Canis lupus familiaris: one gene and its partners. The protein of the gene in region 2 purifies or fractionates together with the protein of the main gene of each other region. This does not show direct contact. Links are inferred from orthologs where the notes say so. Each region holds a gene or a part of one and is shown on either strand. Other genes may lie near its edges. The genes, in order: NEDD9, CRK, DOCK5, ASAP1 and EDC4.

Region 1 (4,298 bases), on a different chromosome or scaffold from region 2:
GAGTAGACTTGCCGGGCCATGTGTGATAATTTTGTATTTAACTTTTCGAGGAACCATCCTACTCTTTTTGGAGGGACCCTTCTCCTCTATTTAAATGTTAGAATTTGGGACACCTGGGTGGCTCAGTGGCTCAAAGGAGTATCTGCCTTTGACTCAGGTCATGATCCCGGGGTCCTGGGATTGAGTCCCACATCGGGCTCCCCACAGGGAGCCTGCTTCTCTCTCTGCCTATGTCTCGGCCTCTCTCTCTGTGTCTCTCATGAATGAATAAAGATAGGCTCTTTTTAAAAAAAAGTTAGAATTTCTTGAGATTCAATTCTTTTTTCTTCTTTCTTTCTTTCTTTCTTTCTTTCTTTTTCTTTCTTCTTTTTTTTGTTAGATTGTATTTATTTAAGAGAGAGAGAGAGAGAGCACAAGCAGTGGGGAGGGGGATGGGAGAGGAAGAGAGAATCCTAGGCAGACTCCATGCTGAGCACGCCCTACACAGGACTTGATCCCATGAACCTGAGATTATGATCTGAGCCTAAATCAAGAGCCAGACGCTTAAGTGACTGAGCCCCCCAGGTGCTTCTTCCTTGAGGTTCAATTCTAAGCCACTCTCCTGCTTTCTCACTCAACACTTTCCTGCAGGTCACCCGTACCCACGGCTACACTTACCAACCCCACGCCTAGGATCCCCAGACCTCTGCTCAGAGCTCTAAATATTGGTCAGTGTCAACCGGCTGGCTGACATCTACCACTGGATCGATTCTAGAACTGAACCAACCCTGGCCTGGTCCCGACCAGCTTCGCCAGTCTCTGTGATCGCCAAGGAGCATCAGCATCCACTTGGATGTGCAAACCAGGAACTGGGGGTTGTCTTGGATACTTTCCCTCCCAACTCCCCTTTTCTGTCTACCACCAAGCACTGTCGATTTTCCTTTCTAAATGACTTTTAACTTTGTGCAGTCCTCTCTCCGCTGCCATCTCTCTTAGCCATACTCACATAGATACTCTTGCTTGGCTGACTCCATCCACCTTCTCATTGGTCTCCCTGCCCATAGGTGTAGCCCCCTCCCATCCATTCTCCAAACCTATCAAAAGGGATTTCTTAAGAATGCAGATCAATCTGACCACAACACCTCTACCTTCTCCATGGCTTTTAGAGTAAGCAGCACCTTCTCTGCTGGGCCTCTGGGCTCATTTTGAGCCACTCCCCACTTCCCTCCTGCTGCACTGGCCTTGGTTTTGCCAGGTGATTCTGTGGTCTCCTACCTCAGGAAGTGGTCTCCACTGTTCCCTCTACCTGGAGCGTAGCCTTGTGCACTCCTACGCCTTTTTCAGTTCTAGTCTCCCCCCTCCTTCTGGAAACCTCCCTGCCTTTCAGATGAGATCAGCTTCCCCCACAATATGTTCTGATCATTATCACATTTGTGTAATTAGTAATTAACGTCTGCTTCTCCCCTGGACCGTAAGCTTTTTGGAAGCGGGACAACATCAATTTTGCTCCATCTAATGTTAAGTTTGGACTTAAACGCAGCTGCCACACAGTGAATACTCACGAGATAGGTGTTAAATACGTGAATTAACTAATGAATGAGAAATGGAACTCCACCTCAAGGCTGATTTCACATCCTTCTCTCTCCTCGGCTCCCCTTTGCCCTATTCTTAAAACAGGAATGTCCTTGAAAATTGGGCGGAATTTCCTCCCAAGCATGGAAGGAAACAGAAACAAGGTTGAAAACCATCTGGCTGGTTCCCAGAGCTCTGTCATGGGCAACTGCTCTTTGAACTCACTCCTGGGTGGGAACCAGCTTCGGGGGGGAGAGAAGACCAGAGAACCCACTCCCAGCTCTCACCACTGGCACAGGGAAAAATATAAACAGCTCACCCATGTCCACACAGTTTGAACAACATGTAACCCTTTTAGAAATGGCTTTAGCCCTTTTACATTGTACGTTTCCTTCATTCTGAAAGAATTTCAGCAAGATAAAAAGGCTGCCTCAAACCCTTTGTGGAAGAAAGGCAATCGAATGAATGAATGAGTTACGCGTGACTTAGTAAGTATTGAGAGAAGGAAGGACAAAGCTGTTGGGGGGGCCGGGTGTGGACAAGTAGAACACAGTGCAATTTGTCCCCAAGCCCTTAGACATGATGCTAATGATGGGGTCTCTGCAGAGCTGGACACGACTCCAGTTCTCAATCATGGTTTCCTGCTCCTCAGGGGTCATTCCCAGAGGGGCTGAAATGGCATTAGAAATGACTCACATCCACCATAAGGTTTAAGTGACAGCCCACACCTGGAAGCCCTGAAATGGTGTCAGAGAAGCCAAAGCATAAGGTAATCCTAGGTAAGCTCTCTGAGGAGGGCAGCAAGAGGGGAGGAGCCGCCCAGCTTCTAGACCAGGAAGCACCTACCCAGGTTGATTTCAAGGCTAGAATCAATCGTGTAGGTTTGGGGTTGCATGCAAGCCCCTGCCTGCAGGTCAACTGGAAAGAAACCTGGAGTCACTCTTCCCTGCTTGGGGCCATTGAGTCCCTCTTGGCTCCAGTCAAGGGGTGTCGGCAGTGGGGAGCACTAACAGATGTCTGACACCAACTCAGGAAGTCCGAGTGTGAGTGAGTCTCCCCACCCCCCCAGGCCACAGTGAGTGTCTGGGGACTCACCCGGGGCAGGCCCACTGGTGCTGGCTCATCTGGTCTTCCCTGATGTTCTGGCCCTCTCTCTCTCTCTCTGGCCAGGCAGGCGGGAGGTGACGGCTCAGTCCCGCCTCATGATCCTGCTTCTCTCTTGCTGCAGCCACCAGACTTGCTTCTAAAGGCAGCTGCAAGCATTTCCCTACTGGGCAACCACACACGTAGAATGTGAGTGGCGTCCCTACGTGTGTTTTTCCTTCCGGTTGCTGCAAGTGATGTTGTCTCGGTTCATTTCCTCTCTGTGCCACAGTTGGTTTTTTTTTTTTTTTTTTTTTCTGATACACTGAGGGTGATCTGTAGTTTAGGGACAGGTGAGAAGTCTAGCTCTGATCTGGACTGCTTGCTACTTTAACAAGAGGTGATCTTTATTATCACGATGAAATTCAGGGGAGTGCCATAAGCTCCTTCCTAGGCTGCATGGAAGCAGACATTGGGCTATTGTAAGTCCACCAAATTCAGGTTTTTGTGGTTTTTATGGACTTAATGTATTCTAAAGAGTTCCACTATAGATTGACATGAAACATCTTTTCATTTAACCAGTATTTATTGAGTCTATGTGGTACCTGCTAGCCTTTGGGTACCCACATGGAGAATTCCCATTTCCAGGGTGGTATAGAACTGGAGACTGTGCATTTGGAAGGGAATTTGCCAGCTACTTAGTCTCAGACCTTTTGTCTTCTTGCTGTGTGCTTTGGAGTAGCACCCAAGTGGTATGGTCTGAAGCTAACCACCTGGTGCTTGCCTTTAAATGCTTTTGATCTTTCTGTGACTCAGCTTCCTCATCTGTAAAATGGGAGTAGTCATAGGATTGTTGTGGGAATTAAGTGAGGCGTTACATGTAAAGCACTCAAGGAGTGGCTGCCACAAGTATATGAGTGTTTGCTATTATCATTAGTGGCAAATGTTATTATTATGAGCTCAGTTCTTTGCTTTTTTTGCCTTCTCTTCCCCCTCCTTATCCCTTGCTGATGCCTAGAAATGACTGGGGGACAGAGAGGATGGAGGAGAGAGGGAGACGGTTTGAACAAAAGTGGCATGGGATGCTCCTGTTTGCTCTAGTATCAAGACAAGTAAAGCACTGTCCTCGGCCCTCCCTTCATCCTCGCCCTCTGTTCCTGCTGTATATTGCATACCGGCAACTTCTGTTTTGTTATTGTCATTTTGTTTTGTTTGAATTTTCTGTAATCCTCTCTGAAATTCAGATCCATGTCATTTATTTTAAATGTCGAGCTGGTCTGAATCATATTAAGGAAATACTTGCCCATAAGCAGATGCCACATTTATTTATTTATTTTTAAAGATTTTATTTATTTATTCACGAGAGAGAGAGAGAGAGAGAGAGAGAGGCAGAGACACAGGCAGAGGGAGAAGCAGGCTCCATGCAGGGAGCCTGATGTGGGACTTGATCCCAGGACCCCGGGATCACGCCCTGGGCTGAAGGCAGACACTAAACCACTGAGTCACCCAGGGATCCCCAAGATGCCACATTTAAACAAAGAAACAAACCCTCAGCTCAAAGCCTTGTGTAATTAGGATTTATAAATAAATCAATAAGAAGAATATCTATGGCAATCTTCATACACATGTTGTATCCATAGGTGTAATTAGCAATATTCATGGTA
Region 2 (4,122 bases):
CTGTGACCTCATTTTATGCTGTGACCTAAACTGGGAATTTTAAGTTCTGGAGACTGTTGTTTGTTTGTTTTTTTAAGATTTTATTTATTTATTTATTCATGAGAGACACAGAGAGAGGCAGAGATGTAGGCAGAGGGAGAAGGAGGCTCCCTGCAAGGAGCCTGATGTGGGATGCGATCCCACATCCCAGAATCACCCCCTGAGCCAGAGGCAGATGCTCAACCACTGAGCCACTCAGGCGTCCCAGTTCTGGAGACTGTTAAAAGTTGTGCACAGGGTAGGAACAGTCTTAGAGTTGTAATTTAGAAAGCACACACTGTCAGATGTGTGCAATGTACTTAGAGCAGCAAGTCTATAGGGCACCAGTGAACAGGCTGTTCACAGGAATACAGATACAGATATGGAATACAGAGACAGAGATCATGATAGTAAGGAGAATAGAGGATACCCCTGGCCACGACTAGTGTTTAGAAGAATCTGGGCAAATGACTTGAAAGACTCAATCCAGAGAACTCCTGGCTTGGCACATTCTGCTCTCTCTGTCTTGCATGCTCTTCCCCTACTGGCCATTCAACATTCAGCTCAAGCCACCTCCTCTGGTAGGTGGAGGACTGAATCCCTTTACAGACTGGGCTGGAGCTCCTGGTTGGTTCCCTCTCACAGTGCTTGGAATTCCTTTGTCATTGTTCCTGCTTCCTCCCACTGGTCTGTGAATTCTGTGAGGTCAGGGCCCAAACCTTGATCACCTTTGCACCCACAGAGCAAATGTGGTGTCAGTAACTGCTGAGTCAATCAGTGCAAACAAAATACTTAAGCCAGTCTAGAGAGAAGATGGAGGAACCACCAGAAAAGGACCAAAGTCTCCAGGAGCTCAGGCCCTGAGGCCACATACATCTTTTGTAGTCCAACTGTGTCTCGGAGTTGCTGCCTAGAATTCCCGGGCCTTCCAGGAACTCGAACCCTGGAGCCGCGTGGCCAAAACCGCAAACACAAACCTCCGCCGACTCCTCGCTGAGCCCCTACCACCGGCCCTGGACTTGGCCCCTCCATCCCCTGCAGTCCCGATCCCCGCCAGGCGGCGACGCACACGGCGGCGCATGCGCAGTGCGCACCCGAGCTGTCCTTTGCCCTTCTCCCCATGGCGGGTTGCGGTCCCCTTCCCGGCATCCTCGCGGGGGCAAGGTGCGCGTCATTTCCGGTGGGGAAGGCCCGCGGCCGCCGCCGCCATTTCGGGCACTGCTGTGAAGCTGAGACCCGAGCCGGTCCGCTGGGCGGCGGGCGCCGGGGCAGGAGGGGCGCGCGTGCCGGCGGCGGCCCAGCGTGTAGGCGCGGAGGCGGCCATGGCGGGCAACTTCGACTCGGAGGAGCGGAGTAGCTGGTACTGGGGGCGGTTGAGCCGGCAGGAGGCGGTGGCGCTGTTGCAGGGCCAGCGGCACGGGGTGTTTCTGGTGCGGGACTCGAGCACCAGCCCCGGGGACTATGTGCTCAGCGTCTCGGAGAACTCGCGCGTCTCCCACTACATCATCAACAGCAGCGGCCCGCGCCCGTCTGTGCCACCGTCGCCCGCCCAGCCTCCGCCCGGTGAGGACGGACGGGACGGGACGGGAGGCCCCGGGCGGGGTGAGGGCCGCGGAACTCGCCAGCCTGACCGGCTGCCCCTCGCGAGCTAGCCTCCACGAGGGACGTGGGCAGAGGGCTGGAGCGACCCTGGCATGGGGGTACCTTGGTGCCCGGGCTCGTTCCCACCACTGGCGGTTGTGTGTGTGTGGAGGAGGAGCCGCTGACCCAGGCCTCTGGGTGTGACTTGGGAGGACAGCCCAGGGGAAGGGGAACTGCTTCGGCCCCAGGGTGGGGCTAGCGCCGGGGCCAGGCACTAGGGCAGGGCGGGCAACGTGGGGACAAAGAGCGGAGGGGGATATTGGCACTGCGGGGGCATCACTTGGCAGCGGTTCCCAGGATGAATTCGATAATCCTACAAGTGGCTTTTTAGGCTTGAAACATTTCCTGTACTGTTAGAGAGCCGGGTTTGGTTTGGAGAGCTATTCTCCCCTGCTGGCCTTTGATAGGAAGTCACCACATACTAGCCCGGAGGGATGGAGACACCCTCAGGAAACCGGTCAGCTTTTTCCTTTCTTGGGCATCTTTCCAAAATACTTTTACTGTCCTCTTCCCCCGCGGAGGACGAAGGTGGTGAGCTAAGTGCCTTGGTGACAGAAGTAAGCCCTCTGTGATCAGCCCAGAACAAGTTGATGTCCAGCTGACCGTGTCCAAGAGATCTTGGCGTCCAGAGACTCTTTTCCACAATTAGAGGGTTCTAGTTTTCAGGGTATTTTGTGGAGGACAGATTCTATGCCCCCACACCCCTCCCAGGAAATAAGCCAGTGGAAACAGTCCCTTCCTTGGAAGTGAATGGAACTTCCAATTTCATTGGACTTAAGCATTGTCAATGTCATATGTCAGGGCCTCTTGCTCAGTAAGTTGGGGCTGTGGCCCTTTTCTTTCTTAACCAAGGATCACTGAGATGTGACTGTCCTACTTACGCCTTTAGAGCTGTTTGGAGAATGTTAAGGAGGTTCATGCACTTAGTACTTGAGATTTGTGAAATACAGAGTAATTCTGAGGTTATTGTCAGATTACCATCATCTGTGTAACAGCACCAAGAGTTGTAGTCTTTCTCATTTTTCAAATTGAAGCAGTTTTCTTCTGACCAGCTGAGGCTAGCTCCAGGCCAGTCTCATAAGAATTAGGAGCCTCCTGAGCCAGCCTTTGCAAACTTGCCCTTTAGGGATAGTCCTAATTTAGATTCATTCACTCTGGCCAGAAATAGGGAGATGGGATAGTCAGTCTCTGTTGCTAACACGTATCAATTATAGGAAGAGTATGAGATCTTTAAATCCAGGAAGTATCCTAGGTCTTCTCAGTCTGCTTGGTTTAATTTTTATTTTAAGATTTTATTTATCTATCTATCATCTGTCTATCTATCTATCTATCTATCTATGAAAGACACAGGCAGAGGGAGAAGCAGACTTCTCGCTGGGAGCCCGATGCAGGACTCAATCCCCAGACCCAGGATCATGCCCTGAGGTGAAGGCAGTCACTCAACCGCTAAGCCACCCAGGCACGTCCCAGTCTGTTTGGTTTAATAGCATAACATGAGACAGGAATATTGATAGAACATAAATTTGCCCTAAACCCGATATGTTGTGCTTTTCCTTTTTTTTTTTTTTTTTTTTTAATTTTTATTTATTTATGATAGTCACAGAGAGAGAGAGAGAGAGAGGCAGAGACATAGGCAGAGGGAGAAGCAGGCTCCATGCACCGGGAGCCCGATGTGGGATTCGATCCCGGGTCTCCAGGATCGCGCCCTGGGCCAAAGGCAGGCGCCAAACCGCTGCGCCACCCAGGGATCCCTATGTTGTGCTTTTTCACCACCTTCTTGGTATCTAGGGTTGTGCATTACAGTGCAGTAATATGTCAAACTGTCACTGAAATTCAATTTTCAACCTCCTGCACCCCCAGTTTTCAACCTTTTATGTATGCGTTTTGCAAAATTTGGAGATGACAACAGGCAGGTTTGCTGGTTTGAGCTTTCTACACACCTTTGTGTTATGACTTTATATCTCTGCGCTTACCTTGATATTGAGCTCCACCTTTTCATAACAGATAGGAGTTCAAATCCTTGGCTCAAGAGAGAAGGTGAAGATTGCCAGAGTTTGTGGATGGGGTGTGGAAAGTTCACAGGCATTGTGTTAATTCTTGTTTCTGGTAATGTGCCCAGTTTTTCACATAGAGCAATTGATTGAGTTGCTGTCTTTATAAAGGTTACTTAGTCTTTGTTCTCCTTGCTTCCCCGTCAAGCTCTTTTCTTTTTGAAACTATACAGAGGAATTTCTTTAATTTTAGAAAAGCGTGTAGAGTATTAATAGCTAACATTTATTGACTGGTTATTCTGTGCCAAGTACTTTGCTGAGTACTTTCTGTGCCTTGTCTCATTTTCTGTCTATAACAATCTGGTGAGAAATACTGTAATCTCTATTTACTAAAATATTTTCATTTTATAGGTGAGGAAACAGAGAGATTCAGGAACTTGCCCAAGGTCACACAGCTGATAAATGACTGAGC
Region 3 (4,397 bases), on a different chromosome or scaffold from region 2:
GCGTCTCTAATCCCATCTTCAGTCCTGAGGTCTCTCCAGGAGCAAGTGAGATCCTGGAGGGCGTTCGGAGGGCTCCAACAGCAGTCTTCTGCAGTTCAGAAGAGCAGGCTTTGCTTTTGGCTGCTGGTCAAAACCATACAGTGAAGGAGAGATGACTCGGATGTGTCCTGTCCCCCTCTCCGCAGGGATGCTCTTTAGGCTGCTGGTCTTTTGGAAAAGGCGGTTGGGGGGGGTGTGTGTCTTGGGGCGAACTTCTCCCTTGATCATAGGGGCCCTCAATCTCTTCACTTGGGGAGGAGTCCCGGTGTTTGGGGTGGGGGTGGGGTGGGGGTACAGGATTTCCAAGTTAAGGCTCTCTAAACTCTAAAGAATTTCCCCAACGGAGCTCCCCGAGGAGACGGACCTTTCTGGGGTGCACATCGCCCCCCCCCCCCCCCGCACCAGGTCTCTATTTACCCGAAGACGAATGCGCCTGCTTTGAAAGCTCTAAACGTTATATGGTCTCATTCATTTGGGGGAATCTAAAAATCAGTGAAAGGGAATACAGGGGAAAGGAGAGAAAATGAGTTGAAAATATCAGTGAGGGTGACAAAACAGGAGAGACTCCTAAGTCTGGGAAACGAACAAGGGGTCGTGGAAGGGGAGGTGGGTGGAGGGATGGGGGTGACCGGGTGACGGGCACTGAGGGGGGCACTTGATGGGATGAGCACTGGGTGTTATGCTGTATGTTGGCAAACTGAACTCCAATTAAAAAAATTTTTTTTTAAAGAGAAGGAAAGCATTAAAGGGTGGCCCCGGGAGAGCCTGTGGGCCCTGGAGTCCTTCCGGCTCTCTCTCTCTCTCTCTCTCTCTCTCTCTCTCTCTCTCTCTCTCTCTCGGTCAGTGAAAGCTGCAGGGGGTGAGCGCAGCGTCAGCTGCTCATTCATTCAACAAATATTTACTGAGCGCCTGCTGAGTGCCAGGCACTGGGGGGCCCGGGGCGAGGAGCGACCTGGGACTTGATCCTGGGCCCCCCGGGGGCGCGGTGGGCGCGCCTCTGCTCCCCCGGGGTGCGCCGCCACCTCCAGGGACGCCCCGGGCTCCAGCCTGGAGGGTCTCACGGGGGACGAAGGGAAGGCGGCGGAGGGCGCAACAGTAAAACGAAAAAGCCGGAGCCGGTGGGCCCCGGGGCGCCGCTCCCGGGGAGCGCGCGAGGCGGGGCGGGGGAGCGCGGAGCGCGGAGCCCCGGGCGCGGAGGCGGCCCCGGCGGGCGGAGGGCGCGGCCGGCGGGAGGGGCCGGGGCGGCGCCGGGAGGGCCCAGCAGGTGACCGGCGGCCCGGCAGAGCCCCAGCGAGTCCCGCGCGCGCGGGCGGCGAAGTTTGCCGGAACATGGCGGAGGAGCCCGGGGCGCGCGGGAGCGGGGCGCGGCGGCGGCCGGGGCCCCGGGAGCTGTAGCCGCCGCAGCCGCAGCCGCCGCCGCCGCGGGGCGAGGTCGCCGCCATGGCCCGCTGGATCCCGACCAAGAGGCAGAAGTACGGGGTCGGTGAGTGCTCGCCCGAAGTTCGCGGGAGCGGCCCTGCCCCGCGGCGGAGGCTCCCCCCGGGCCCCCCGCGCCCCCCGCCCCCAGGGCGCAGGCGGCGCTGCCCGGCCGGGACGTCGCCCCCGGGGTGGGGAGTCTCAGCGCCCCCCGAAACGGCACTGGGGCTCCGGGACCCGAAGCCCCGGCGCCGTGCACGGTGCAAACGTCAAAAGCGAGCGCTCGCCCGCGGGGGTGTGGGGCGCGGGCCCGGGGCTCCCCCTTCTCCGCCCCAGCCTTGCGGATCCGTGGAGTGGTTTGTCCGCTCGCGGACCCGGGGCTTCTGCGTGCCGTCTGCTGGGCTCCCCAAGTGAGGTCCCCAAGTGAGGTGTGCGGGGGAGGGGGTAGGACGGCGCCCCCTTCCTCCAGGGACTGGGATGCCGGTAACAGTTGTAAAGTGAATGGGACACTCAAGCCGTGGGGTGGGGGTGATGGAGACGGAGGAGACGGCGAGCGGGCTGGGGGCGCGGACGCGCGCGTCCCTAACCGAGCGTGCCTAAAGGCGCCTACGACCGCCCTGCGAGGCCGCAGTTCCGTCCTGGGGCAGATAACGTGAGGATTTTTTTTTTTTTTTTTTTAAGATTTTCTTTATTCATTCATGAGAGGCACAGAGAGAGGAGAGAGAGAGGCAGAGGGAGAAGCAGGCTCCATCCATGCAGGGAGCCCATGCGGGACTCGATCCCGGGACTCCAGGATCAGGCCCTGGCCCGAAGGCAGGCGCTAAACCCCCCGAGCCACCCAGGGATCCCCACAGGAGCATATTTTGTTAAGGAACCTGTGGCAGGTCCTGGCCAGGCACTGGGCTTTCCTAAAGGTGGTGCTCCAGAGCCCCCACCACCCGCGGAGGGGTGGCTGTTGTGTTGTTGGGGACCCGAAAGCCTGGCTGTGCCTGGTTTTGACCCAGGTGGAAAACCGCGGTCCTTGCACCTGGTGTGTGTGTGTGTGTGTGTGTGTGTGTGTGAGTGTGCGTGTGCGCGCGCGTGCTGAGGTCTCTTGGAAAGACTGCCCTGAGCCGGGCCATCCCTGGGGCAGGTGGACTTCCGAGCGGTTCCCTAGAATAAACACAGTTGTGTGTGTGGAGCATTTTATCACTTCCTCCCAGGTTCATTCATTCGGTCCATCTGTAATGTAATCTTTTATTTTACTCGCTTTCCCGGGCCCCATTTTTCCTTACCGCTTCAGTTAGTAGGGAGGGAGGGATCCCTGCAGCGCTTCTGTGCTTTCTGACACACTGAAGTCCTCTTGGGATACTCTTTAAACAACCTCCTCTAGGTGCTTTTCGACTCTGTAACCACAGAGTCCGTTAAAAACCCAACAACAAAACCCTTTCACATTTAAAATAGTATCTTAATTGTGACCCTTTCTGTGTATATGTAGCTGTATATGTGATATGTACTGTGTATATGTAATTCCTTGTTGCCCCCCTATTCCAAAAAACTTGTTTCCTCTTAAATTTCCTTTAGAATCCTTGCACTCTCTTGTGGCAGCAACTCAGAAATGAGTGTTTCTTCTGACCCACAGTATCTGGTCAGAATTTGGTCCTGAGGCTTCAGGCAGGTGCCAGTGAGTAGCCAGTAGTTATGGAAGGAAAATGGTCTGTGATAGATGGAATCGATTTATTTTTGAGCATTACAGAGTACTACTAAATTAAAGCATAATTAGCAATGCCTGCTCATTAGTTACTATTTACAAAGATAGCAGTTTTGATTTTGTTTCTAACAGGATCCAACACTATGACTTTCATGTAGTTAATGCCAAGCATACCCCTCAAATGTGGTTTTAATTACCATAGTCATAGGAGCAAGTGTGACATGTTTTCTTTTCAGTAATACTACCCCCCCCCCCCATTCTGGAATCAGGTTACCATGTTATTTATCAGCAGTCAAGAAAAGCATTTGAAATGCATTTCCAGGGCATAGGTGGTAGCAAAACTGCCCCAGGATATAATTTGGCACACTTATTTTACTAGACACAATAGATTTTGATTAATCTTGGCTTGACAAAAGGACCCACTGTTAGGACAGATTAGCTGAGGAGATAAATCACCATTGTTTATTCCTAAAACTCTCTGTTGTTCTCAGTGCCTCCCGCTTGGAAGCCTTCCTTGGCCTACCGGGGTAAAGTCTAAATTGAGCCCAACTTTCAAGGTTATGATAATCTGGTTCGACCTGTCTCCACCAACTTTATCTCTCCTGGCTTCTTTCATTAACTTACCAGGGCAGACACTGCCCTTCTCTGCTCTTGTGCAACATGCAATGAAGAGGTTCTCCCTTTGGGACTTTGCTCCCAGAGTGCCCTCCCAGTTCTGTATCATCTCCAATCCAGCCTATTCCTCGGGGGGCTCAGATGCATTTGCATTGCTTCCCCAGATTTGGTATGAACCGGACCTTCTTCCCAAACCCGTATGCCTCTCCTCACAATCACTACATTGTGCCACACTTTGTTACTTATCCTTTTATCCTTGGGTTCACTGAATCAGGTTATGGTTCTGTATCCCTGTCATGATACCAGGTAGAGAGCCTGTATTCAGTAACTGCTTGTCCTTGCTGTTGAGGTGACACTCTAAAGCCTTAACCTCATTTCCATGATGATTTAATGCAGTTCCTCTCCCCACCCCCCCACCCCCATTCACCACAGTATGAGTTTTATTTTGTTTGGTTAAATGTGCGTAGTGAGAGCCTTCGGTGTCTTTATTTCTTTGCAAGCAGAAAAATGAGATGTGCTGTTGAGAAAATAAGGAAGCATCGAGTAGACAGACTTCATTTAAATATAATTAGGAAAATTGGCTTGTTGGACTTTTTGGGGGATAGTTATCACTTACGAGTGTCTGCTGGTCAGATTG
Region 4 (3,667 bases), on a different chromosome or scaffold from region 2:
CTTTCATCTTCTAAGAACAGGCACTCACTCTCCATCGGTCCTCCCGGTGACCGAAGGAGGGGACAGCGCTTCCCCACCTCGGGGTCCCCTCTGGTGACCTTGCTCTCTGTGGTTGCTTCCCACAGTGGCACTAAGGAAAACAGAAACCAGCCATCACCTCTCCCTAGATAAAGCCAACATCCCGCCCGAGATCTTCCAGAAGTCATCGCAGTTGGCAGAGTTACCACAGAAGCCACCACCTGGAGACCTGCCCCCGAAGCCCACAGAACTGGCTCCCAAGCCCCAAATTGGAGATTTGCCACCGAAGCCAGGAGAACTGCCCCCCAAGCCGCAGCTGGGCGACCTGCCACCCAAGCCCCAGCTGGCAGACTTACCTCCCAAGCCACAGATGAAGGACCTGCCTCCCAAACCACAGCTGGGGGACCTGCTGGTGAAACCCCAGACCGGAGATGTCTCACCCAAGGCACAGCAGCCCCCCGACGTCACGCAGAAGGCACACCCGGCGGATCTCTCCCCAAATGTGCAGTCCCGAGACGCCATCCAAAAGCAAGCATCTGAAGACTCCAATGACCTCACGCCCACTCTGCCAGAGACGCCCGTACCACTGCCCAGGAAAATCAATACGGTGGGTAGACATCAATTTTGAGGCTTTTGCAAAACCCTGCTGCTCTCCGAAACCTGGCGGGAGAGTCTGTGCCCCAGCTAACACAGAAAAATCACAAGCTTGCTCACCTAAGCTGGCTGTGGTTCAGGCATGGTGGTGGAGCAGAGTCTAGTGGTTAGGGACGCGGGTGTTGGGTGTTGGACTCCAGCCAGCGGGCTTCAGGACCCGCCCTGAGCTCCCGCTCTCCCTGTGTGACCTGGGTGCATTCCTTACCCTCTCTGAGCCCGGTCCCCTGGTACACCGGAAGGAGCTAATGCAGCCGCTGAGCTCACGGGCAGTTCGGTGCAGTGAGGGATGAGCGGCAGCCCGCACACACTTGTCTTAGAGCCTGGAGGATGATATTTCCCTTTCTTAGAATCACAGGAAGGCAGGTTCCCTCTCAGGGTTCTGAAAATCTCCCACTCAGCTCTCCCCGCATCTTCCCAGAGGAACCAGAGGCAAAGCCCAATGAGACTTGCACAAGCAGAGTTCGGCTGACACCCCACATTCCCTCCTTTTCCTGAAATGCTCTCTACAATATACCGATTTTATTTTAATATAAAAATGCTTCCCCTCCCCCCCCAAAAAAAAACACTCTTTTTTTGGGAAAGTGCCCCGGGAGCATTCAGTGTACTATCTGCACCGCCCACGGCTGCACCCCCACGGCTGAGGAGCACAGTTAGTGAGGAACCGGAAGGCCTCCCACTGCACACAGGGGATCCGCCCTCGCTCATTATAAAATCAGCATTGCGGTAAAAGTGTGTCACTTCCACACTAAGGGAAGGGCAGGAAAAACAAAGCCCGTTCTCCCTCGGGCTGGAGACCACCGCAGTCCCTATGTACGGCGGCAGATGCCTCTGCTCTTCACGGGGGCGATGTCCCAAGAGCCCAGGCACCGCCAGGCACCTCGACGTACGGGATCCCAGCACGTGCTGTGCACTTGCCAGTTGTTTTATGACCTCATTTCATCCTCCCCGTTATCAAGTATCACCTAGGGGCCATGGGCCCGAGACAACAAAGACTTGCAAGGCCTCGGTTCCTCTGCCCCACCAGCCCCACTGCTTGCGCCCCGGGAGGAACCGCAGGAGGGAGTGGGGTGACTTAGGGAGAAACCAGGGACAGAGAGAAGTCACTTGACCCAAAACATTGAGAGCCACAGCTTGCTTTTTTCTTTTTAAAAAAAAAACAAATTAATCAGTGAGGCACCAAAAACCTCCTTTGGAAGATGATTTCTCCATTCCCGTCTGTCTGCAGAGAACCAGACGTCCCGCAGATAAAAGTGCAAGTGAAAACTGATCAGAAATTAAAACATTTTGGGCAACTGCCTAGAATCCTCCCAGCCTGGGCCGCCGCCCTGTTTAACCAGCATGTGCTGACTTGGTACTTTGCATGAGGGGACTGAGAAATTTGTTTACGCTGTGCATTCAGTATGCAGAAGCTGCACATTTCTCTTTACATCATGTTTCCCAAAACCATTTTTAGACTCTGCTGTCATCTCTGCAAGCTGCTCTCGGGAGTGGGGGAGGGCAGGGTGCTTCAGGGGTTTGGGCGAGGCTGGATTTCAATCCCCACTTGCGGTTTCCTCTGTCCTGGTGTGGGGGGCACAGAGTGGGGGAGCACACAGCCCCCCGCGCTTGCCGCCCCCTCCACAGAGGAGACGTGGAGGCTCAGTGAGGGTAAATCACGGGCCCAAGGCCACTGTGTGCTTTTGTCCAGCTAAAACCCAGGTTCTTTCTTAAAGGGGAAAAACAAGGTGAGACGAGTGAAGACCATCTACGACTGCCAGGCGGACAATGACGACGAGCTCACGTTCATGGAGGGGGAAGTGATTGTCGTCACAGGGGAGGAGGACCAGGAGTGGTGGGTATGTACCAGGCCGCCTCGGGCGGGCGCCCCCGGGGACCGGGGTCCTCACTTGCCCTCCAGCGTTTTCATGGGGCGTCTTCTCTCCCCGAGTCGTGCTAGAAACGCAGGCGTGGAGCTCTGACACCGGGTTGGGAGAACGAACGTGTGCCTGTGCTTTGCCCTCGTGATCGTACAACCTGCAAGCCGCAGGCATTTCCTGCTTTTTCAGATGTGAAACTGAGGCTCGAGGTTAAGCATGTGACACAGGTCGGAGGCAGGCGGTCAGCCTTCGGAAGCATCTCTGACCTCAGAGCCCGAGTCCCCGTGTCAGGCCATCCCGGGCCAGGCATCAGGGCCGGGGGCTCCATCCTCAATCCGGCGGTTCTGCCTTTGTAAAGTGGGGCATGATACCCTCCTCCCTTGATTTTACGGGAGTAAACAGAAATATCTACAAAAATCCCTTTTACATTAAAACCTGCTGCCCGAGCGTCCTCACACAGCTTGGAGATTCTCAGCGGCTCCAAGGACAGCCCTACGCATCTGTGCTGTTGAGGCTGTCAGGATTGAGCCTCCTGTGACAAACAGCAGGCCAGAGGCACCGTGGGTGGTGGCCACCGTGGCAGGTGTCTCTCCTGGCTGGGGATGCTGCTTCCTCTCAGCCTGGGTCCCACCTGCCCGGAGGGACCCGTTCTGTGTGCTGAGGAAGGGACCTGCGGTTCACAGCTGAGCCAGCAGAGCCTGCCAGGGCCCGAAGCACAGGTGCACGCACACATGTACACACATGCAAACACACGTCTACATGCAGCAGGCATGCGTGCTCCTTTGGCTTTTCTTCCTTTGGGCCTGGAGAGCACCTCCAGACTCCTGATCACAGGTTCTGCATGGACCGAAGCAGTGGCTCAGAGGCCCGTGCAGCTTTGCCCCCCAGAGTTCCGATTGTCAGGACCTGGGAGGGTGGGTGCTCTGAGCCTCTGGCCAGTGGAAGCCAGGGGTGCTTGGGAGTGCAAGAGGACTGGCCTGCAATGTGCGCAGTGCTGCAGCCGAGACATCCCGGAGGAAGTGATGAGGCCTCTCTCTCTCTCGGGGGTGGGGGGTGGCCCGGCCCCGGTGGCCCTTCCTGCCTCTCCCAGGTCCAGCCGGCTCCTGGCGTGGAGCCTGCTAGAGAGCCAGGTTAGAATC
Region 5 (4,303 bases), on a different chromosome or scaffold from region 2:
ATTCCCCACCTCAGCCCCCTGGTTTTGGAAAACCGAGCTGCAGACAGAGCTCAAGGCCAAGCCTGAGGCTTCCCTTGCACTCTCTAGTCAGTTCTGATGACTCCTACGTGGGGTAGGATCAGGGCTCTGGTAGTAGAGATGATCTAGAATCCCATTGAAAGGGACTCATCAGGTTCAGGTGCTCCAGACTGAGGGCTCAGCAAAACTACCATGTATAAAATGAGCAAAAGTTTGAGGGAGAGGGTCCTGTTCTACCCCAGAACAGTCAGGATCACATCCAGGGTACCCCATAAACCCCAAGCCAAGCAGAGGGCAGCTCAGGTTTTGTACTACCTGCTTTGGATATCCTTGCCCACAGAGCCAGGCCCAGTTTAGAGCTATTGAAAGTAGGCAATCTGAGTTTGAGGGATTTGTGCTCTGGGATTTCTCACCCCTCAGACCTCTGCAAGGCATCTCTAGGCCTCCTGCTTCCTCCCTCACCACACACATACTTTCACATTGTCTTCAAGTTCCAGGAAATCTTAACTCTTGGGGCAGTTAATGCTTTTCATTTTGGGGGACAGAGGCCTTCTGCTCACTGCAGAACTTGCCCTTTAGCCCTGAGACCTCTAGTGGTATAAATAAGCCTGGTGTCAAGGAAGCAACCAGAAGCTAGAACCAAACCCAGGGGTCAGGCTGGTGCCCTGTTAGGGGTTTCAGGATTGAGGAGGGTACCACAATTAGGCCTGACCTGCACTCCCCCTTCCCTCCTGCACTACAGATGGAGGCCAAGGACTTCTTCAGACCCCCCACAGGTTGCCTGGCTACACTGAGCACAGGCCTGGATGATGGATTGTTTTTAGGAGACCACAAATTCGGATTTCAGGGGGACTGATTTAGGAGGCTGGGGGTGGGGAGTGGGGGTTGGGAGAGAGGTGGATGCCTGATGCCTCTTAAACCACCCTGTGTAAAATCTGCAATACAGCTTCTTCCATGTACCTGTGCCTGAAATTTCTGCAATAAAGAGGTGTTTGTAAACTCTGGTTTCTTTATTCCTGCCTGAGGGTGTCAAGCCTGGGTGGGTAAAGGATGCTGGGGGACATTAACAATGTGACGTTCTGGTCTGACAAGCTCCCCTAGCAATTCCTGGGCTTAAGATTCCCCTGAGGCCTGGGTTGCCCTACCGTATTTCCCCAAGGGGAAACTAGGCTCCTACCAATTTAGCTTTCTCCTTGGGAGGGTCTTAAGGAGTTGATCCAGTTCCAGGCCTATCATGTTTCCGTGTTCTGGGAATGAACACAGGCTGGACAGGATGTCCTGAGCTGAATAGGGTTTTCGGCGGTCCTATACGCGCCCAATTGCCCTGAGGAACGCCCACTGACCTAGGGGTCCCGGAGGGGCGAAGCTTCCGCCCCCAGCCCGGAACCTTTCTTCTCCGTACTGCTTAGGTTCCGGGAGCCGGAGCTCCGGCGGGCCGGAAGTGGAGGCGGTTGGTGGGGCTGGTGGGGTACAGGGACGCGGCGCGGGCGGCGGTTTGCGGGCAGCGGGCGGGCCGAATCTAGCGACCCGTGTCCTGCCGTCTGGTCCCGGCAGGGCTGTGCGCGGCTGCACTGTGCGCGGCGGCGGCGAAACGAACGCGGCGCGGGAGAGGCGCCCGCGGCTGGGCCCATGGCCTCCTCCTGCGCGAGCATCGACATCGAGGACGCCACGCAGCACCTGCGGGACATCCTCAAGCTGGACCGGCCCGCGGGGGGTGAGCCGGGACAGCGGGGGTGGGCCTTCGGCGAGCGGGCCTTAGGGCGGCGCGGGCCTGGGCCGTCCTCAGTGTCCGCAGGTCCCTCAGGACCCGTGCCGCATCTTCCTGGCTGGTGAGGCAAGACGAGGGTTGGAGCCGTAAATTCCTGAGCGTGCCCCGCAAGGGTGCAGATCCCTTCCTATCCCGGGGCCGGGCCGTTCTGCCTCGCCCTTCAGCGTCTCTGCTGAAGGTGAGGTTCCTTCTCTGAATCCGCAGGGCCCCCTTGGTGTCCTGGCCCCAAGGTAGAAGCGTTCCTAGGGCTCGATCCGTATCATGGTGCCATGTAGTTCAGAGGCCTGATCAGGGCTCTGTATGCTAGTTTTGGGTCTAGACCTAAGCATTTTGCTGAGGAACCACTGGTCACCCTCTGCAACTTGCCCTTCACTCTGGAATAGACTCCAGGCCTGCTGTTCTAAAACTGATTCTTAGGAGACAGGTGACCAGCCCCAGGATGTGTCCTTTCTGAGATTAAAGCAAATCACAGATTGCATGGCCCTGATTGGATTAGGCTACAAACATCTGCAAGCCCTAGTTTATTTCCATTCATTTAAACTTGACTTGCAGTGATAACCTCAGAGTTGCTCCTACCCTTAAAGAGCTCCCAGGACTTAGAGAACTAATGCTGTTGTCATTGGGGGTGGGGGGGGGGCGTATTTTGGTACTGTGATGAAGACAGGGTAGGAGGTTAGGGCTGGATAGTGCCTGAGAACAGATCTGAGAAGACAGTGTTTAGGCTAGGTGTTAATAGTATGATATGACCAGGTGATTCAGTGTCAGGAATGGCATTCTACAAAGAAGAAATAGCATGTATGAAAGCACTGCCAAAGTTTCCTGGTAGGTTAGGGACCTGTGAAAAGCAGTGGTTGAAAGACTGGCTGGTGATGGTGGTGTGGGGTGTGCAGGGGCCACAGCTGAGAATTGGTGTTTCTTCAGACTCTGTTCTTAAACTTGCTGGGAGGCCCAAACTGGCTGCTTTTAGAAGCAGGCATTGGTGCTCACACTGGGTGGGTTTAGCTACCCCTGGTCCCCTTAGGAAAATCCATCTGCTGCGTGAAACCACTAAGTACTTTGCCCCAAACCTGGAGTGTGTGCTCGGTTTACTCGTGAGCTTGGTTGGCTTGGACCGCTCATGGTCATCAGCACTGGGCAGACTAGACTGCACAAAGATTTGGTAGAGGCTGGCATGGCCAATATTTTGCAGCTTGTTTCTTTGTCCTTATGGTAGCCTACCTTGGAAGGAGAGTGGCCAGCTTACTCCTGAGCAGCTAAAGTGGCTCTGATCCAAGTGAAGTGGCTTGGAGGCTTTCCACTTAATATCTTACGTATTGATTGGTATTTAATTGCCCCATTTACCAATTAGCTCTTGCTTGTCTCCTCTGGAGGCACTGGAGGACCATGTTAGATGCCAGTGTGGGGGCCTAGTCTCCTTGTCATCTGGGAGTTTTAGGGTGGTATCTGAGCCTATAAGGGTGCTTGAAATAGCCAGTGGCAAACAACTGAAATCCTTTCTTTCCTGACTACACACCCTATCCTAGAGTTGCTCTCCACTTTGTCCAACCCCTTTGTGTCCATTCCTTCTGAGTTTACCTGCCCAAGGTGGCTTCTTCTGAACCATTTCTTTGAGGGGCAGGTTTCTTTCTTTCTTATTCCCACATCTTATCAGTGTTCTTTCATGCCTTAGAAGCCCATCTTCCTTTCTATATCATCTACCACTATCTTGGTCTAGGTTCTTAAATTATATCCTACATGCTGCTTTAGAGCAGTCATTCTTTTGGCCATAGCAGACCATGTCACCTTTCCATTTAAAACTCTGTGTGGCTCTCTGCGCTACAGGGAAAATTTAAGCACCTAAGCTTCATATCTGAGACCTCTATGGCTTGTCTTCCCTCCATCTTTCCTATACTTGTGTGTGCCAGCCTTACTGGCTCTGATGTACCTCCTTTATGAAGTCTGTCCTGACCCTTTCCATGCCTTCTCTTGAGTACAGAGTCCCTTTGTACTGACCCAGGCCTAAATATTAATTGGCTGCATGGGATTCTTGATGGCTTTACTCCTCCCTCAGGCAGAAGAGCCACATGCATGTCTTTGGTCCTGGCAGGCATTGGGATAACTATCAGTATTGATGGAACAAAAGATGAACCAAGAGTCCTCCTCCCCTCAGACATGGCTCCCTCAGTTGAATGTTCCCAGAGCACCTCATGGCTTTTGAATGAAGTTCGGCAAGAGGAAAGGCCAATGGGCAGGTGGAACAGCCTCATCAGAGTAGACCTTTCTATCCCCAGGTCCCAGTGCAGAGAGCCAGCGGTCATCTAATGCCTACAATGGGGATCTCAATGGGCTTCTTGTCCCAGACCCCCTCTGCTCAGGTGATGGTACTTCAACAAACAAGCCTGGTCTCCGGGCCATGCCACCTATTAACCTTCAGGAAAAGCAGGTCATGTGAGTGTCTGGGAAATGGCAATGATGGTATTGGGGTCTTTGGGGTGGTGCACTTAATCACATATTTGTGTTAGGATGAGGCTCAAGGAC

The links.
Region 1: the proteins of CRK (region 2) and NEDD9 purify together in Homo sapiens (affinity purification with western blotting; 3 studies listed by BioGRID). This does not show direct contact. The link is inferred for Canis lupus familiaris from reciprocal best matches to the Homo sapiens genes CRK and NEDD9.
Region 3: the proteins of CRK (region 2) and DOCK5 purify together in Homo sapiens (affinity purification with mass spectrometry; 3 studies listed by BioGRID and IntAct, with this or other methods). This does not show direct contact. The link is inferred for Canis lupus familiaris from reciprocal best matches to the Homo sapiens genes CRK and DOCK5.
Region 4: the proteins of CRK (region 2) and ASAP1 purify together in Homo sapiens (affinity purification with mass spectrometry; 3 studies listed by BioGRID and IntAct, with this or other methods). This does not show direct contact. The link is inferred for Canis lupus familiaris from reciprocal best matches to the Homo sapiens genes CRK and ASAP1.
Region 5: the proteins of CRK (region 2) and EDC4 purify together in Homo sapiens (affinity purification with mass spectrometry; 3 studies listed by BioGRID and IntAct, with this or other methods). This does not show direct contact. The link is inferred for Canis lupus familiaris from reciprocal best matches to the Homo sapiens genes CRK and EDC4.

The regions. Positions count from the first base shown.
Region 1 is NC_049256.1:12,338,256-12,342,553, forward strand, and holds the start of NEDD9 (enhancer of filamentation 1), read right to left. Parts: upstream 2,848-4,298; 5' UTR 2,647-2,847; intron 2,040-2,646; exon of another isoform or gene 1,900-2,039; intron 1-1,899. UniProt on the Homo sapiens protein: Scaffolding protein which plays a central coordinating role for tyrosine-kinase-based signaling related to cell adhesion. As a focal adhesion protein, plays a role in embryonic fibroblast migration.
Region 2 is NC_049230.1:45,570,749-45,574,870, reverse strand, and holds the start of CRK (adapter molecule crk), read left to right. Parts: upstream 1-1,233; 5' UTR 1,234-1,340; coding exon 1,341-1,581; intron 1,582-4,122. UniProt on the Homo sapiens protein: Involved in cell branching and adhesion mediated by BCAR1-CRK-RAPGEF1 signaling and activation of RAP1.
Region 3 is NC_049246.1:32,424,706-32,429,102, reverse strand, and holds the start of DOCK5 (dedicator of cytokinesis protein 5), read left to right. Parts: upstream 1-1,434; 5' UTR 1,435-1,479; coding exon 1,480-1,522; intron 1,523-4,397. UniProt on the Homo sapiens protein: Guanine nucleotide exchange factor (GEF) for Rho and Rac. GEF proteins activate small GTPases by exchanging bound GDP for free GTP. Along with DOCK1, mediates CRK/CRKL regulation of epithelial and endothelial cell spreading and migration on type IV collagen.
Region 4 is NC_049234.1:27,597,311-27,600,977, reverse strand, and holds part of ASAP1 (arf-GAP with SH3 domain, ANK repeat and PH domain-containing protein 1), read left to right. Parts: intron 1-125; coding exon 126-625; intron 626-2,384; coding exon 2,385-2,507; intron 2,508-3,667. UniProt on the Homo sapiens protein: Possesses phosphatidylinositol 4,5-bisphosphate-dependent GTPase-activating protein activity for ARF1 (ADP ribosylation factor 1) and ARF5 and a lesser activity towards ARF6.
Region 5 is NC_049226.1:82,196,282-82,200,584, reverse strand, and holds the start of EDC4 (enhancer of mRNA-decapping protein 4), read left to right. Parts: upstream 1-1,495; 5' UTR 1,496-1,647; coding exon 1,648-1,732; intron 1,733-1,827; exon of another isoform or gene 1,828-1,964; intron 1,965-4,056; coding exon 4,057-4,213; intron 4,214-4,303. UniProt on the Homo sapiens protein: In the process of mRNA degradation, seems to play a role in mRNA decapping. Component of a complex containing DCP2 and DCP1A which functions in decapping of ARE-containing mRNAs. Promotes complex formation between DCP1A and DCP2.